Linked DNA regions of Mytilus edulis. The protein of the gene in region 2 purifies or fractionates together with the protein of the main gene of each other region. This does not show direct contact. Links are inferred from orthologs where the notes say so. Each region holds a gene or a part of one and is shown on either strand. Other genes may lie near its edges.

Region 1 (7,166 bases), on a different chromosome or scaffold from region 2:
GCTAGTTTTTGCCCCTTTTTGGCCCTTACGACGACATCATACCATTATACGATCCCAAAAAATGTTTGAGTGGTCGTATTAAAAGAAAAGAAAAGCATGAAATATCTTGAATAACTTTAAGATAACATTAAATTTGATTGATTTGATTGTGTTTTAACGCCACTTTTAAGCATGGCTTTTGGATTATTTCATGGCAGCCAGTATTTAATGGCGAAGAAGTCGGAGTGCAGGAGAAAAACTCTTGCTGTCGATAGGGAAACTAAAAATCCTAGTCAATTAAGATTGAAGTCAAGTACACCCTCACAAGCAGGGTTCAAACCCACAAGCTCAGTGTTGACTGGCTAGTGATTTAATACAGTACAAGATCTACTCAAACCACTTGGCTATAGAGGCCCCTTGAATATGATAACATGTAAAAGCCTCAACATTTGCACAATAGTAACTACCAACATATTTAATTTTTCAAGAACAAAACTTACTTTTAGGGGTTTTCTTTTTGTGGAAAACAGTCTTTATTTTAAAGCTCTTTTAAATGTTTCAATTTTTATACCTTCAATTTTTTTTATATATAAAAGATGTCTCCCATTCTAAAGTCATGAAAGTGTAGAAATGTATTGGTCATTGATGCAAAAACTAGTTCAAATTCTAATGGCATTTTGAAGGGTTATTTAGTTTTTTAAACCTATGTCAGTTTGAGGGTTTTCACTTCGGATTTTTAAAGGAGAGTTCAGTTAAGTTTTTATTAAAAGAAATCTGTTGTTAATTCCCTGATGGTGGCCTGGCCCTACACTATACCGAATAGTAGTTTTTTGTACTATGATGATTTTGTGTCTCTGACTCTCATACATTTGTTAGATCAGATAGTTTATATAAGTTACATTTGTTTGTCATTATCTGTTGTTTATCAGCTCATGTACATGTAGGACAGTGGTAGTGGGCAGTGTGATAAACTGGTAGGTTGCTGACCTTAATCATTCCCACCCTTCCCACACTATTTCTTAGTTGTAACTTTAATCATTTTTACATAAATACTGTACAAATGTCTACTTACATCCATACTTGATCTCTCTTTTTAATCTGGAATAAACAACATATGCATGTTAATATTTGATATAAACAATAAATAACATACTTGAAAATATTTGATATGAACAAAAAACAACATACATTTCTTTGAACTTATAATTAGAAAGTTACACATGACATTGATTGCTTCCAGGAACCATTTAACTGAACCTTCTGCCAGTACTTGAGGGCTCTAACTGGATGAGAACAGCTGTGTAATACTTGTTTGAATATTATAGTTTAAAGTTAAAATGACATGTTTAAAGTGACCTATGTTTAACCCCTTGGTTTATCCTGCAAGCAGAACTTTTTAAAAGTGTGACAAACCAATTTTTACCCTATATCAAGTGAAGTGAATATTAATTCTTAAAAGAAGCAAAAACATTTTTTTTTTCAATTTTACTAATGAAAAGATATTTTTTAAACCTATGTGTTTAAAATTTTGGTAAAACAACGAAATCACAATTTGTGACAAAATTTCGAATTTGCTACCCAAATAAGTGATTTAAAAATCACTGATTCCAGTAAGTCCTCGGACTGTATGGATTTATATTATCCGAAAATTCAGGTTTGCCAAATTGTTCCGATCTTGATATTTCATACTCTTCAGAAGCAACGTATTTTGGAAGTTCAGGGAACCATTTTGAAATCAGTAAATATTTGCTCACTTCTATTGAAATTGTAACTTATTTTATCTTTTCTTCTGGATATTTCTATATCAATAAGCATGATAAGCACATAAAAGGTAAGAGATCCTGAACTACAAATGTTTGCAAAAAACTTCTAATCAGCAAAGAAGATTTAAATTTCTAGGTTGGACCAGAAAATATTTTTGAGACAAGTCGAGAGCGAGAGCGACAGTTCTGATTTGGCTACCAGGGTGTTCTGTCAGATCATGTTTTTGTTCGTCATATGAATTTGTACTATGCATGCTTTCAGTGGCGGATCCAGAAAATTTCATAAGAGGGGGCCCACTGACTGACCTAAAAGGGGGGGGGGGTTTTCCGCTCGGTAAACGGACAGAAAGTCACAGGACAAAAAGTCACAGGACATAAAGTCACAAATTTGATAGGACAAAAAGTCACAGGACAAAAAGTCACAAATAATTTGTTGACAATTTAAACAATATATTTTGATATGTTTTCTTTTTATTACATATATTCACATTTTAGTTAGGGAAATTGCTTATATTAAATTTTAATCACGAAAAGGATATATTTATTGGCAAAATGAAGCCATTTAAGTGCCAAGCCACTATTGACATTTTGTTTTCATAACAATCAAGACAATTATTTGATGATTATTGATATTTATTGAATACATTTTAACAACAAAGGTGCTTCATATATGATACTTCAAGAAAAATACAAAAAAAAATTATTCCAAAATAAGTTTTTTCATGTTCAAAGAAAAATTATCTCAAAACAGAATTGTGACTTTTTGTCCTGTGACTTTTTGTCCGTGACTTTTTGTCTGTGACTTTTTGTCCTGTGACTTTCTGTCCTACATTCTTCCGCTCCAGTCACGCATCAGTAATTCCCTATATATAAGCAACCAAATTTTTTCCGAAAAAGGGGTCCCCCCCCCTAAATCCGCCTCTGGCTTTTTCAATGGAAATTGTTACGTTACAATGCATTATCAATAGCACGATGGGGATACCCTTATAGTCTGTTAATCCAGTCTCCATGTCTTGCATAACCATCGTAACTATCTTACCACGTTAAAATCAAATCATACAGTATCCTAAGCTATGTCTCCAAGAAAAACTTTTGAGGTATATTGTGTGTATTTGTGTGCGTTTGAAAACTTAATAAAATTCTAGCGATCACCAGGTGTTTAAGTTTTACAATGTAAATAAGCTGATAATATATATATAAATCTGCTTGTCAGCCTTTCCCGCCATCTAGGATATTAACAGCCTGTATCCCGACCATTGGTAACCAGATTAGACAAACAGACATGAGCCAACTCGCCCCACGCATTAAACGTCATGTGATGTTTACTGTAGTGAACCAGGGACCAGGTACCCTGTACTTTCAAAATATAGATTAAAATATAAGTTCCCAGAATGAATTAACAAATATCTTATAAATTCTGACTAGTAAAAACCGTTAAAATGAATAATATATATAAAAAAACACACACATGTTAAAAGAACCTCGATATATAAGAAATTTCTGATGCTATTGCGAGCTTAAAATCATGCAACGCCAAGGACTGTGGACCTGATTTGATTTCAAATGAAATGTTAAAATATAGTCAGTCATATTTGATAGGTTGCTTATATAAATTATTTAATTTGTGCCTCAAGAATAGTGAGGGAGGGTAGGAAGGGTCCTGGTCCCGAATTCCCGGGCTTAAAAATACGAAATCCCGAAATCCCAGGCTTAAAAACACGAAATGATGTCTCTTGTAATAAATTACAGTCTTCCTTATTTAATCTTGAAAATATTTTTAAAAATCTTAAGTGTGAGAATCTCCATCTTAAATTTTCTAAATTTATACACATATATATATAAATGTACACAAAAGGAGTGTCAATTTTGCTGTATTATCAGAACTGGGGCGTTTCCCCTTACATTATGATATTGTAAAGTAAATTGTAAAATACTGGTATAGATTTGAAAATCTTACAACTGAATTCAGTCTAGTGAAAGATGCTTATAAATGCAGCCAAGAGCTTCACAAATCTATAGCTAGCATAACTTCTTGGTTCTCATTTGTTAAAAAAAAATATTAGAAGTTTTTGAAATTAAACAAGAAGTAAAACATTTCGGACAATATAAATTTTTGAACATATCTAGCAAATTAATTCACAGTAAATATATTAGCAAATGGTATGCTAGCCAAAATAAAGCTTCTGATGGAAAACTGTTTGATTATGTGAAATTTAAGCAGAATTTTGGTTATGAAAATTATCTTTCTTTAATTAAGAACTTTGATTTTAGAAGATCTATATGCAAATTACGTATTTCTGCTCATAAGCTTCAAATTGAAGTAGGTCGTTTTTCAAATATTCCACGAAATGAAAGAATTTGCAAAAAATGCTCCTCTGGCTGTGTTGAAGATGAAATCCATTTTTTAACTAACTGTGAAAATTTTAAATCAGACAGAGATGCTCTCTTTGACTTTGCTTGCCAAAGAATTCCAAATTTTTCTATACTTGATAATCAGCATAAATTTATTTATTTATTAAACTGTGAAGACAATCAGGTCCTTAATGCTGTTGGTAAACTTATTAAAGTGAATTGAGTTAGTAATTGTATTGTAACTGTATGTAAAAAAAATTGTTTATATCTATGTATCTATGCAAATCAATATTCTTTTTCCTTATTCGTGTATGCTCTGTATGCCCCTTGTGGACCCTAAATTGGAAATAAAATATGTTCTCTTCTATATATATGTTAGTACTTACAGTGAATTTGTATAGACCATTTGGGATTATATAGAATCACTGATTTTCAGTGATTATGTAGAATCGGTAAAATCATTAGTGATTATATATAATCCCTGAAAATTACCAGCCATTTTTAAAATATAATCACTGAACATTTTACTTATTATTTTACATATGATTTCAGGGAATATCACTAAAAAAAATCAAATGATAGACAAATTATTTTACATATGATTTCAGGGAATATCAATAAAAAAAATCAAATATAGACAAATTTGTTTTTCTTATTCTCTTATTCCTTGAAAGTTTAAGTGAACACTACCAGAGGCGGATTTAGGGGGGGGGGGGGCAGGGGGCCCGGGCCCGGCCCCCCTTTTTGGGGGAAAATTTGGTTGCTTATATAGGGAATCGTTGATGCGTGACTGGAGCGGCCCCTCTTAGGTCAGTCAATGGGCCCCCACTTATGTAAATTTCTGGATCTGCCACTGACCACTTACCGTTATTCGTTAAACTGTAATTTTCGGCTTCTATTAGCGTAAGTTAAAATATTGCCGTGATTCGTCAAAATATCCTTATAATGATTCGTCAGAAGTCGCACATAATTGTGCCTGCAAAATAGCAATTTTGCTATTATGACGACTCTGATTAAAATGTCCTTATTCAAGTCGGCAAAAAAGCATATTTCTCTAGAACTGGCTATTTTACAGGCACCTGCAATACAGTGATTTTTTTCTGCAGGTTCTATGTAAAGAGTAAATATTTACTTTTAAAAAGTACGTAGAAAATGTGCACTGTCATCATAAAGAATAAAATAATTACTTATATACTCACGGCCGACACTCGGCTAACCGAGAGATAGTCGGTTAATCTATATTGAGTATGCGGCTATATCGGCGGTTGGTCTGTTAATCGGGTTGGTTATACGTCTGTTAAGAGTAAAACGCACAATTTTAATATTGAAATCTATTTAATATACAGATTTTAGGTACATTATAAGAATCAAATCAAAAAAAGAAAAGTGTCTGACAAAATGATATATATCATAGAACATTTTCCAACTGTAAAAACGTTTCATAGTCTGCGCAGTTTTCAGTAAAACTAAAAGGCGTCGCGCAAGTATGTAGTATTTATGCTTATACGCATAGCAATTTTTGTAATGAAAGGCGAAAAAAACAATTTTAGATATCATTTAAAGGACACAAAATCGTACTTTGGTTCTAAAATATAAATTGAAATTAGTAAATATTTCATAATTGTAATATAACGTCAGTAATACCACATTTTAGTGAACATTATGGGAATAAAGTCTGTTAATGGGTTGGACAATTGAAATTGTGTCAGTTAAGAGTTATTTAGCCACGACAATAGTTGTGCTACCTTTATATTTTCCCTTTGAAAAAGTTAAGAATGAGATGCTCTTGAGTAAAAAAAATGACAATACGCTAGTAAGAACATTTTTATTTTGACTTCCTTTGCATTTTATTAAGGAGTGTGTCACTTCAATATATGGATATGGATTGCCTGCTGGAATATGCATGAATCTATTATTAACGTTTTCCTCAGCCTTAATTTTTGTGTCTGTTCAAAGTAGCACGTTTTCAAATCCGTCCGAAAGTGTCTTTCTAATACAACACAGGGTACATATAACGTGTTGTCGTTCTCATATGCACATGATATTTGTCACTGGACGTTAAACTCTAAATCGTCAACATCATTCGATTGGTTCTTTTCTTCTATTACTGAATCATCTGTTGTTTACAAATCAGTCTAAAGAAGTAAATGGAAAGGAGCGAATGCAGCTACATTTGGTTATCTTAAGTTTTAATTCATTTTATTCCGTTTAGTTCCTTTCTACATAAGTGCAGAGGAGAACTGCAGTTGTCCGCATGTAAACTTTCAGCATTTATTACCAATATGAGTACATAGCAATCCGTTACTGTTTCAACACCCAGGGAAGTTTCATGTCTTTATTCTCAAACAGTTATTATTTTTTTCTATCTTTTTTTTATTAATGCATCACTTCCTACTCTCCTTATCTATTATTCTATATTTTCTGTGTTTCCATCCAGATTCTCGTGTATACAATGAGGGTCCGGATTGGGGGTGTTGTTTATTTCTATATTCTTTAAATTGTCTGTTACTTTTCTCTACATTTTATTTTATCTTACTCATTATTATTTCTTTATTCTTTATATATTCTAGCATCCCAATATATTTTACTTACTGATGTTTAGTTACATTACGACGTTTATCTCTGATTTATATACTGGTTAATACCAATTTAGATACAAATTAGTGTCATTCATGACAACCTAAACAGAATCCACATGATATATGCGACCATTCTTGGATGAAATCAATATGTATAGATTATAACATGCCCTTTTCTATATTAACCCTGGTATCATCCCGAGACTCCCATATCGGCCTCGAGGCTTTATCCGAGGGCCGATATGGATCGAGGGATGATACCAGGGCAAATATGGAAAAACATGTTATAATCTTTAAGCTTTTTATCACATATTTAAGTGTTGCAGAAAAGAGGGGAAAAAAGTTCAATTATAACAATTTAATGAAACATAAAAGGTAAATCTTAAAAATGTATCCGTATCCATAACAAATATGTGATAAGATATAAAAAACACATAGCTGAGAGGGTGATAGAGCAGATTGGGTCCCGAGAAAACATTGTCAACCGCGGCGA
Region 2 (7,842 bases):
AAAAACTTTTTCAACTACTAGTCTGAAGACCAATATTCTGACATTTTTCTTAATTGTCCAAACAAAGTTTTGCAAAAACTTACTAGTCCGAATGAAGTTTTAATGGACTAGTATATGTAGCTAACCGTGCAGACTGCTTTGTAACTACGTAAAAATTTCTAACCGGCAATGAAAATTTCATGTCAAAAATTATTAGGTGTCAAAAGTTCCCCCCAAAATTTGCTCTCAAACTCCAGACGTAAAACATGGCTTCAGCGTTATGGCGTCGTAGGAAGGTGTCCCAGAAAAAAAATTAAAATAGCCTTGCCAGACGTCATAATTATTTGGACTAGGTCATGTCATGATAGTAGCAACTTTTGGTTAGACAGTTTTCTAAAATGAATTGGTTGCTAGATTTAGATTATTCCGTTGAAAGATTACCAAGGATCAAACTAATAAACTAGCACTGAAGCAGGTAATGATGGTATTTCAGAAAATTTGCCAACCATAGGCATTAAACATATAAAGAAAACTACTGCAAAATTAATACTAGTACAATCAACAGGTCAGGAATAACCACCAATTGGTGGATTATTCCTCAATTGACGTATAATCCACCAATTGACATATAAAGATATAGACCAATTGGTGTATTTTTTTTTGTTTTTCAAAACAAATTATTTTACCAAAATGGAGCATTGTTTTCTTAAAACCATATTATGGTATGAAAACTTGTCAAACATTCCTAGTTTAGTATAGTGACATAACATATTGAATTTAATCAATAATTGTATTTGTAGTTTCTTCTATTGTTATCTTGTCAATTCTTGATTGGCAAATTTACCTGTAATCACCTGTCAATGTATGTATGTATGTATATATGTACTTCGAGATTCCACCAATTTAGACGCACCCCTTGATTGACTGCAAGGGTACAGCGGATCCATGTACACTCCCTAAGGATTAATGGAGATGTGTCCTTTACAATATTATCCTACCACCAGAACAATCCCCACCCAACACCGCCCCAAGGGAGAGTGTAGGACACAGGGAAGTCTGTTATTATGGTGGAGGAAGCCGAAGTACTCGGAAAGAAACACCGGGCCACTCGGTGGAAACACGACAAACCAGAGAGATATCAGAAGATTGATCTCCAGGTCAAAGTAGGGGACAACTTTGACCAACTGAGGCCCCCAAAGTACCCATTCTAGTTTAAACTCCAGTCTGGGTACCAGAGATGTGTGTGAGAGGGTCAGTGTTCCAGCTAGGCCGTTTTCAGAGGGCGCGGCGCCCGCCCTTTTCCGAGTGGCGCCCTGTGCCCTTTTTACAGTTTCCAGGGCGCCCTGCCTTTTGCATATTAATTTGCGTATTGATATGATACGCTAATTACTAAATTTTACCTGGGGAAAAGATTATGACTTTGTTTACCACCCCAAGCTAATCAATGGTTACAACTGGTGTCATAATCTGTTGTTATAGGTAATCCGTTTATCGGATGGGTCATTAATGATCATCAACATTAATTCGTTCAAATAGAATCGGTCAGTCGGCAATTATCTTTGAAGAAATGTGCATACAACAACTTGGGCACAATTTGCGATGTTTACCGTAGTTTCATGGAAGAAACGTAATGACAGAAAGTTGGAAAACCATTATAAACTCGTTGAAGACATTGTTTTACTTGTTTTCTGTAAAATAAACAGAAAATTCAGACGTATTTGCGATTGACTGCCTTCATTTTTGATACGAAAATAACAAAATCGGCCGCCATATTGTGATCATATTTACATCATATTTACGTACTGTTTATAATCCTCCAAAGAAGGAGCACACCCGAATAAAGAAAGATAACTCAATCTGATTTTTTTCCTAGCATTGAGTAACCCATTTACATATTCTAAAATGTGTCTCCATACTTCTTGCTTAAGAATATATATGTTTAGGTATTTATTTTGAGTTATGGGAAAAGTTAAAGAGGGTCTTAGTAGCAGTGTTGGTAGGGTGCCTTGGTCATCTTTTTCTGTATTCTTTATTTTTGATACTATTTTTCACTGTTGCTTTATATCCTAAAATTGTGAATTTCCTGAGCACAGCTGTTTTGTGCTGTATTGCTATCAAGCACAGCAGGGGTAGAAAGGTGAAACTGGTAAAATGTGGTAGACCATAGAAACAGTATGAAACAGATCTCCTTTCAAAACATACTGCATATAAAGTTCAACTGTGCCAAGCAATGATAAAAAAACTTGTGTGACAAGCTGCTTGACAAGTTTTTCAGCCTTAAAAGTAGAAAGATAGAGTTCTATATGGGCTAAAGATGTTGTTCTTGTATAACCTGTGATTCAACGAATAAACACAAATGTTTGATTAACATCTTTTATTAAAATATGCCCTTTTCATATTATCATATCGCGCGTTAAATGCCCTTTTTCAGGATTGACACCCTGCCCTTTTGAAAACCTAGCTGGAACACTGAGGGTGAAAATCACCCTTCTGATGTACTGATATTTTAAGCACCCAGACTGGACAAATGTTTCAACAAAAGAATTGTTGTACACATGCATTCTCAAGAGATGCAGCAGGCTTTGACAAAACTGAAACTTTCGGAGGACTCAAATTATAAGGGTCATAAAAATTATATGTTGCAAGTTGCAAAATCATGCTCCTTTCTCACACTAGCATTTTATTACAAAAAAATTGCATTATACGTCAATTGGTCTATACCAATATACCTCAATTGGTGGATTATACGTCAATTGAGGTATAATCCACCAATTGGTGGTTATTCCTGACCTGATCAAGGAAAATTTTGTATAGTCTTACTATACAAATCCTTGGTACAATTAAATATGTTATTTTGAGCTCACCTTGCTCCGCTTTGAAATAACGACGGGAGGAGATAATGTTGCAGCTTTTCTTTTCTTCATTGAAAAATTCCTAGAGGTTGGCATGTTGTTGATGTTTTCTCTACAAACCGCGTCAAAAAATTGTTATGAAACAGTTCCCGCCAGTACTTTCGGAATTTATTCGGAACATTATTTCGTCTTCTTCTTTCGTATCAATATCCCCAGAAAGGAACACCTCACACAGGGAAGGTCTATGAACAGGACAGATAAAACCAGGACAGTTATTTTCGATACGTTTTTATCTGTAACTTTCGTTTTACTCAACATATTGTTAAAATGTAAATTGTATAATAAAGAACAGGATATTTACTTATATTATCTGTAAAAGAAAATAAAAATAAAAAATAACTAAGTTAAAAAAAAATCTGCCAGGACAGTTTAATATTATGAAAAAAATGGCTGAAATTGCCGAGAAAAGTTTACTTATAAATGAAATATTTTCTCCAAAACAACTGTCTGGCATAATATTTTTGTACGATTATAAAGTTTATGGAATATTTATTCTAAAAATTTATGGTTTAATATTTTTTTTCATCTTTTAAAGGTAAAAAAATCTGCCAGGACAGTAGCCTTTCACGTTAGAAATTTTGTTGAAATTATTTCAAAATCAAAATATAAAATTAAATATCTTCTTCAAAATAAATGTCTGGTAAACAAATGTTACTATAAGAAAAAGATAGATTTAATAAACCAAGGATGTGAATAGTGTCTTACTATACATGTGTACTTTATTATGTGACTGTGTGAATTCTTTTTATTGCACTCAATATGTGACACTTTAATAAACAAATTATTCCGGCGAGTCATTTAATGTATAGCTATAATTAACTAAATGATTTTTGCGGATTCCGGAACTTTCAGTGAGATATAATAGATTTAAATTTGATTTTGAGTAACAAAAAGAAAGTTAACAAGAATTTCCAGCTGAAAATCTAACAGGATTTTGTCACCATGGTCACTTTATTTCAAACATCTAAATAAAAGGATCAACACCGATTGGGACTCTGATAACACTGAGTTAATTGTTAAAAAAAAATATGTATTTGCATACCCACAAGGTTAATCTTTTGTATTGGAAAAAGAATGACACATTTCTTAATTCAAACTGAAAAAAAAACTATAACTGGTAAAATATATATATATGGATTTTTTTTTATTGATTTCTGTATCATTGACATATGATTTCCAACCTAGAGGTGTTACAATGTATGTACGTCCGGTGACCGTGCACCCCACTGCATAAATTAAATATGATATACGTCTAACCTTTATACATTTGAATTATCATACATTTATATTATTATATACATCAGTTTTGTTTTTGGAAGATTTTGTAATTTTTAGAGAAAAAGAATGTTGTAAGAACTGCCCGGTGTTTTTTCCCCTCTTTTGAATACTCAAATTTTAATCAAATTCTGTTTTATGATTATTCAGATTATTAGTAGTTTAACATTAATACGATATATAAAATGTGCCACAAAACGAGGAACCACACGGTCTCCGTTCAATATTATAACCTAATTTAAAAAATAGTTTAACTGCCAAATCATTACATACATAAAGTATATCGCAATTAATCTATTATTGTAATATGTTTAATAAACTCTCTAGCCAATGTAGAAGAAAACACACACCAAGACGCACAGTAAAATGTGCCTGTCACGAACCTATAATTCAGTGGATGTCGTTTGTTGCTGTTTCACATATATTTTTTTTGTTTATTATTTTTGTATAAAAAACGTTAGTTTTTCTAGTTTTTCTTGTGTTTTTTATTCGTTATTTCGTGACATTGCGTTGTGGGTTTTGCTCATTGTTGAAGACTGTACGGTGACCTAAGTTGGTAACTCCGCGCCGTGACGTTGTCTTTTGGTCTTTTGTGGAGATGTGTCTATCTAATTGGAGAACATACCACTTCTCCTAACTTTTATATCATTCTGAAAGGAGGATAACCAAACACTAACACGTTTTAAGTTTAACACCGTTACATTTTGTAAGTGCGATCTAGTCCTAAGTCAGAAGGATGGGCAGTAATTCAGTGGTTGTCGGGTTTTTCAGTGTATCATGATATTTCTTTATTAATTTTTCATTTACTGTTTAGATTATTGATAAATAGAATGGCATTATTTTTCTTCATTTCAGTTTTCTCAATGGCAATCACAACACATCTTGATGAAGAAAACAATTTGTAAATTTGCAAGGTGGCTTAATTATGTGTGCTCGATTTAAGGATACCAACAAGTACTATAGTATGACCGCAAATCTACCAATTTTTAAAATTTAAAGAAATACGGCTAGTTTAGAAGTAACTACGCTTTAGAAAACAGATGTTGGCAATATTAACAGATTCGATACTTTAATTGACATGTATGACACGAATTAAAAAAAAAAGACTTAATCTGTTGTCCGCTATTCTAAATGCATTTATTTTTTAAATAATACACACAGGACAAGCCAATCTATACCTTGACATGATATAATATATTATGGATATATAATACAAATTTGTAGGACAAACTGCATACATGTTTTGATTAACCGACCTAAAGCCGAAAGGTCAAAATGAATTCGTACGAGAAGTTATCCCTAAATTTAGTATTCAGTTCATGTTACAGAGTGTTGTACACGTAAAACTGTGAAATGTCTTGACACAAACTCGGTGAAAAGTTATCAAAAGGTCAATCACATCAAACGAATGGAAAACAAGTGTCATACCCCAGACTTTAAACCTAATATGAATGTATATATATATGGTGTGCGCAAGTGTCAAAATATGTGTGCTATGTCAAGAACGGTAATTTATGTTCAGTAATATTTCAGTTATAATTATATTATCAAAACATGCATTAAAGGCCTTACGGTGACCTATAGTTGTTAATGTCCTTTTGGTCTCTTGTGGAGAGTTGTCTCATTGGCAATCGTGCCACGTCTTCTATTTTATATATAGTTTGTAATTCAGGAGTAAGGTTAGCAACTGCATTCCTGTTAGATAGTTAATTTACATTTCTTTAATCTTTAATCTTTCCAATTTAGATATTCAAGTCTTACAATGTTAATTATAACATAAAAGTCAAGCCTTTGCATGATTAATTTTAAAGTCAACACATGAATAATCAAGTTCATCAAATTAATAGCCAACATTTAAAAACTACAATTATTTCTATTCTGGCTATTCATTTATTTCTTGGAGACTTGTGCTAAAGTGTTTTCTAACAGAATCAAAATGTCTGGTAATTACAAAAACCACAAAGGTAAGTTTTTTTCAGGTTTTTTTCAGTTTTATTGTATCCAGGGACTTTCTATGCTAACTGGACTCGTCTCTATTGATTTTGACTGATTACTAAGCCGCCTGTTTAAAGCTACCACTCAACAATAAACTTAGTTTCGTATCTCTGATATACGAAGCTAGTAGTTATTTGCGTATTTCACAGTACATTGTAATGATATAATTATTATTAGTTTTTAATATAAATTGTTATAAGTGACCAGTCCCGTTAGTATAGAAAGTCCCTGTTGTATACCAAGGTAAATCTGAAACTGAACAATTAAAGTCAATCCATAGTTTTTTTTTCATAATTTCTATTATAAAACACTTTATCCCAGTTATCCCTCCTTTTATCTATGTTATCTCCCCTTATTTGGCAAAGTTGAAAAAAATGAATCAAAACAAACTTGGTGTTTATTTAAAAATTACAGTGGTAAATATGATAAAACACATAATTTTCTTTATTTACATCAAAAGTCTTACACGTGAATTACGTACCACTCTAGAAATTTGCACGTTTCATTACAGATCTAGACTAATCTGTAACTTCAAAATCCAAGATGAAGGAAGACATCCGAGCCCCCCCCCCCCCCCCATGAGGAAAAACCTTCTATTATTATTATCATAACGCATAAGTTGTATGTTTGAAAGGCACAATTATGTATAGATTATTTTAAATACAAGACAAATTCAATCAAATATTAAATTAATCATATCTCGAAAATTATATATTTTGACTTTTTTTCACTTTTTTAGTGACTGCTTTGTTTTAACATGTCCTGGTAGATACAAAAAGGCGTTTTACCTTGGTCAGTTGGTCAACACAATATCAAATGGAAAGCAAACACATTTACTTTAAACTTTAAATATTTTCCAGAACTCAACAGAGAAAATTGTTACGTTTTTTAACTAGAACAAGTGAGACAAAACTAAATGAATTGTCAGTCTATTGAAATTATTGTAACACTTTGTAAGTTTGTTTTATGCCGTAAATATATTTTATAATCGTCAGGGGTGGGTCCAGGTAAGGGCGTAATGGCGTACCTTTTCAATTTTTTTTTTAAATATCGTAATCTGCTAATATTGTATTGAATATGGCAATTTATCATATTCATTACTTAAACATATACTCTGATTTCTTTTTATACTGATTCCCCCATCCAATGGGTGACTTGGACACCTTTTTTCAACAATATAAATCTATACATGAAATGGTTGTTTTGTGTGACACTTCCCCAATGGCTATTCTACATCTACACGGGTCTGGGGGGGGGGGGGGGGGGGGGGGGGTACTCGCTATATATACTTATATGATACCGGGTATGTTCCGACAAACGGGGTTGCATTTTCAGCAAAATTGTCTGAATTTGGTTATGTTTTTTTCTCGCCTTGCATTGGAAGGGGCCAGATTTAACTATCTATAACGGGGTATTTTAAATATACAATGTTTACACTATTGTTTCACATAAGGGTGAATGTTTGGTACCATTAAAACGTTTAAACCCGCTGCAACTGTTTGCACCTTTCCTAAGTCAGGAATCTGATCTTCAGTAGTTTGTTGATGTGGTTTATAAGTGTTTCTCGTTTTACGTTTTTTATATAGATTAGACCGTTGGTTTTTCCCGTCTGAATGGTTTTACACTTTGTCTAGTAATTTTTTGGGACACTTTATAGCTGGCTGTTCGGTATAAACCAAGG

Evidence for each region.
Region 1: the proteins of WD repeat-containing protein 76-like (region 2) and lymphocyte-specific helicase-like purify together in Homo sapiens (affinity purification with mass spectrometry; 4 studies listed by BioGRID and IntAct, counting the BioPlex papers as one, with this or other methods). This does not show direct contact. The link is inferred for Mytilus edulis from reciprocal best matches to the Homo sapiens genes WDR76 and HELLS.

What each region holds. Positions count from the first base shown.
Region 1 is NC_092357.1:53,594,296-53,601,461, reverse strand, and holds the start of lymphocyte-specific helicase-like, read right to left. Parts: upstream 3,013-7,166; 5' UTR 2,782-3,012; exon of another isoform or gene 2,725-2,781; intron 1,078-2,724; 5' UTR 1,058-1,077; coding exon 1,052-1,057; intron 1-1,051. UniProt on the Homo sapiens protein: Plays an essential role in normal development and survival. Involved in regulation of the expansion or survival of lymphoid cells. Required for de novo or maintenance DNA methylation. May control silencing of the imprinted CDKN1C gene through DNA methylation.
Region 2 is NC_092350.1:66,305,087-66,312,928, reverse strand, and holds the start of WD repeat-containing protein 76-like, read right to left. Parts: upstream 3,022-7,842; 5' UTR 2,928-3,021; coding exon 2,844-2,927; intron 1-2,843. Other genes in the region: uncharacterized protein, read left to right, coding at 6,103-6,130. UniProt on the Homo sapiens protein: Specifically binds 5-hydroxymethylcytosine (5hmC), suggesting that it acts as a specific reader of 5hmC.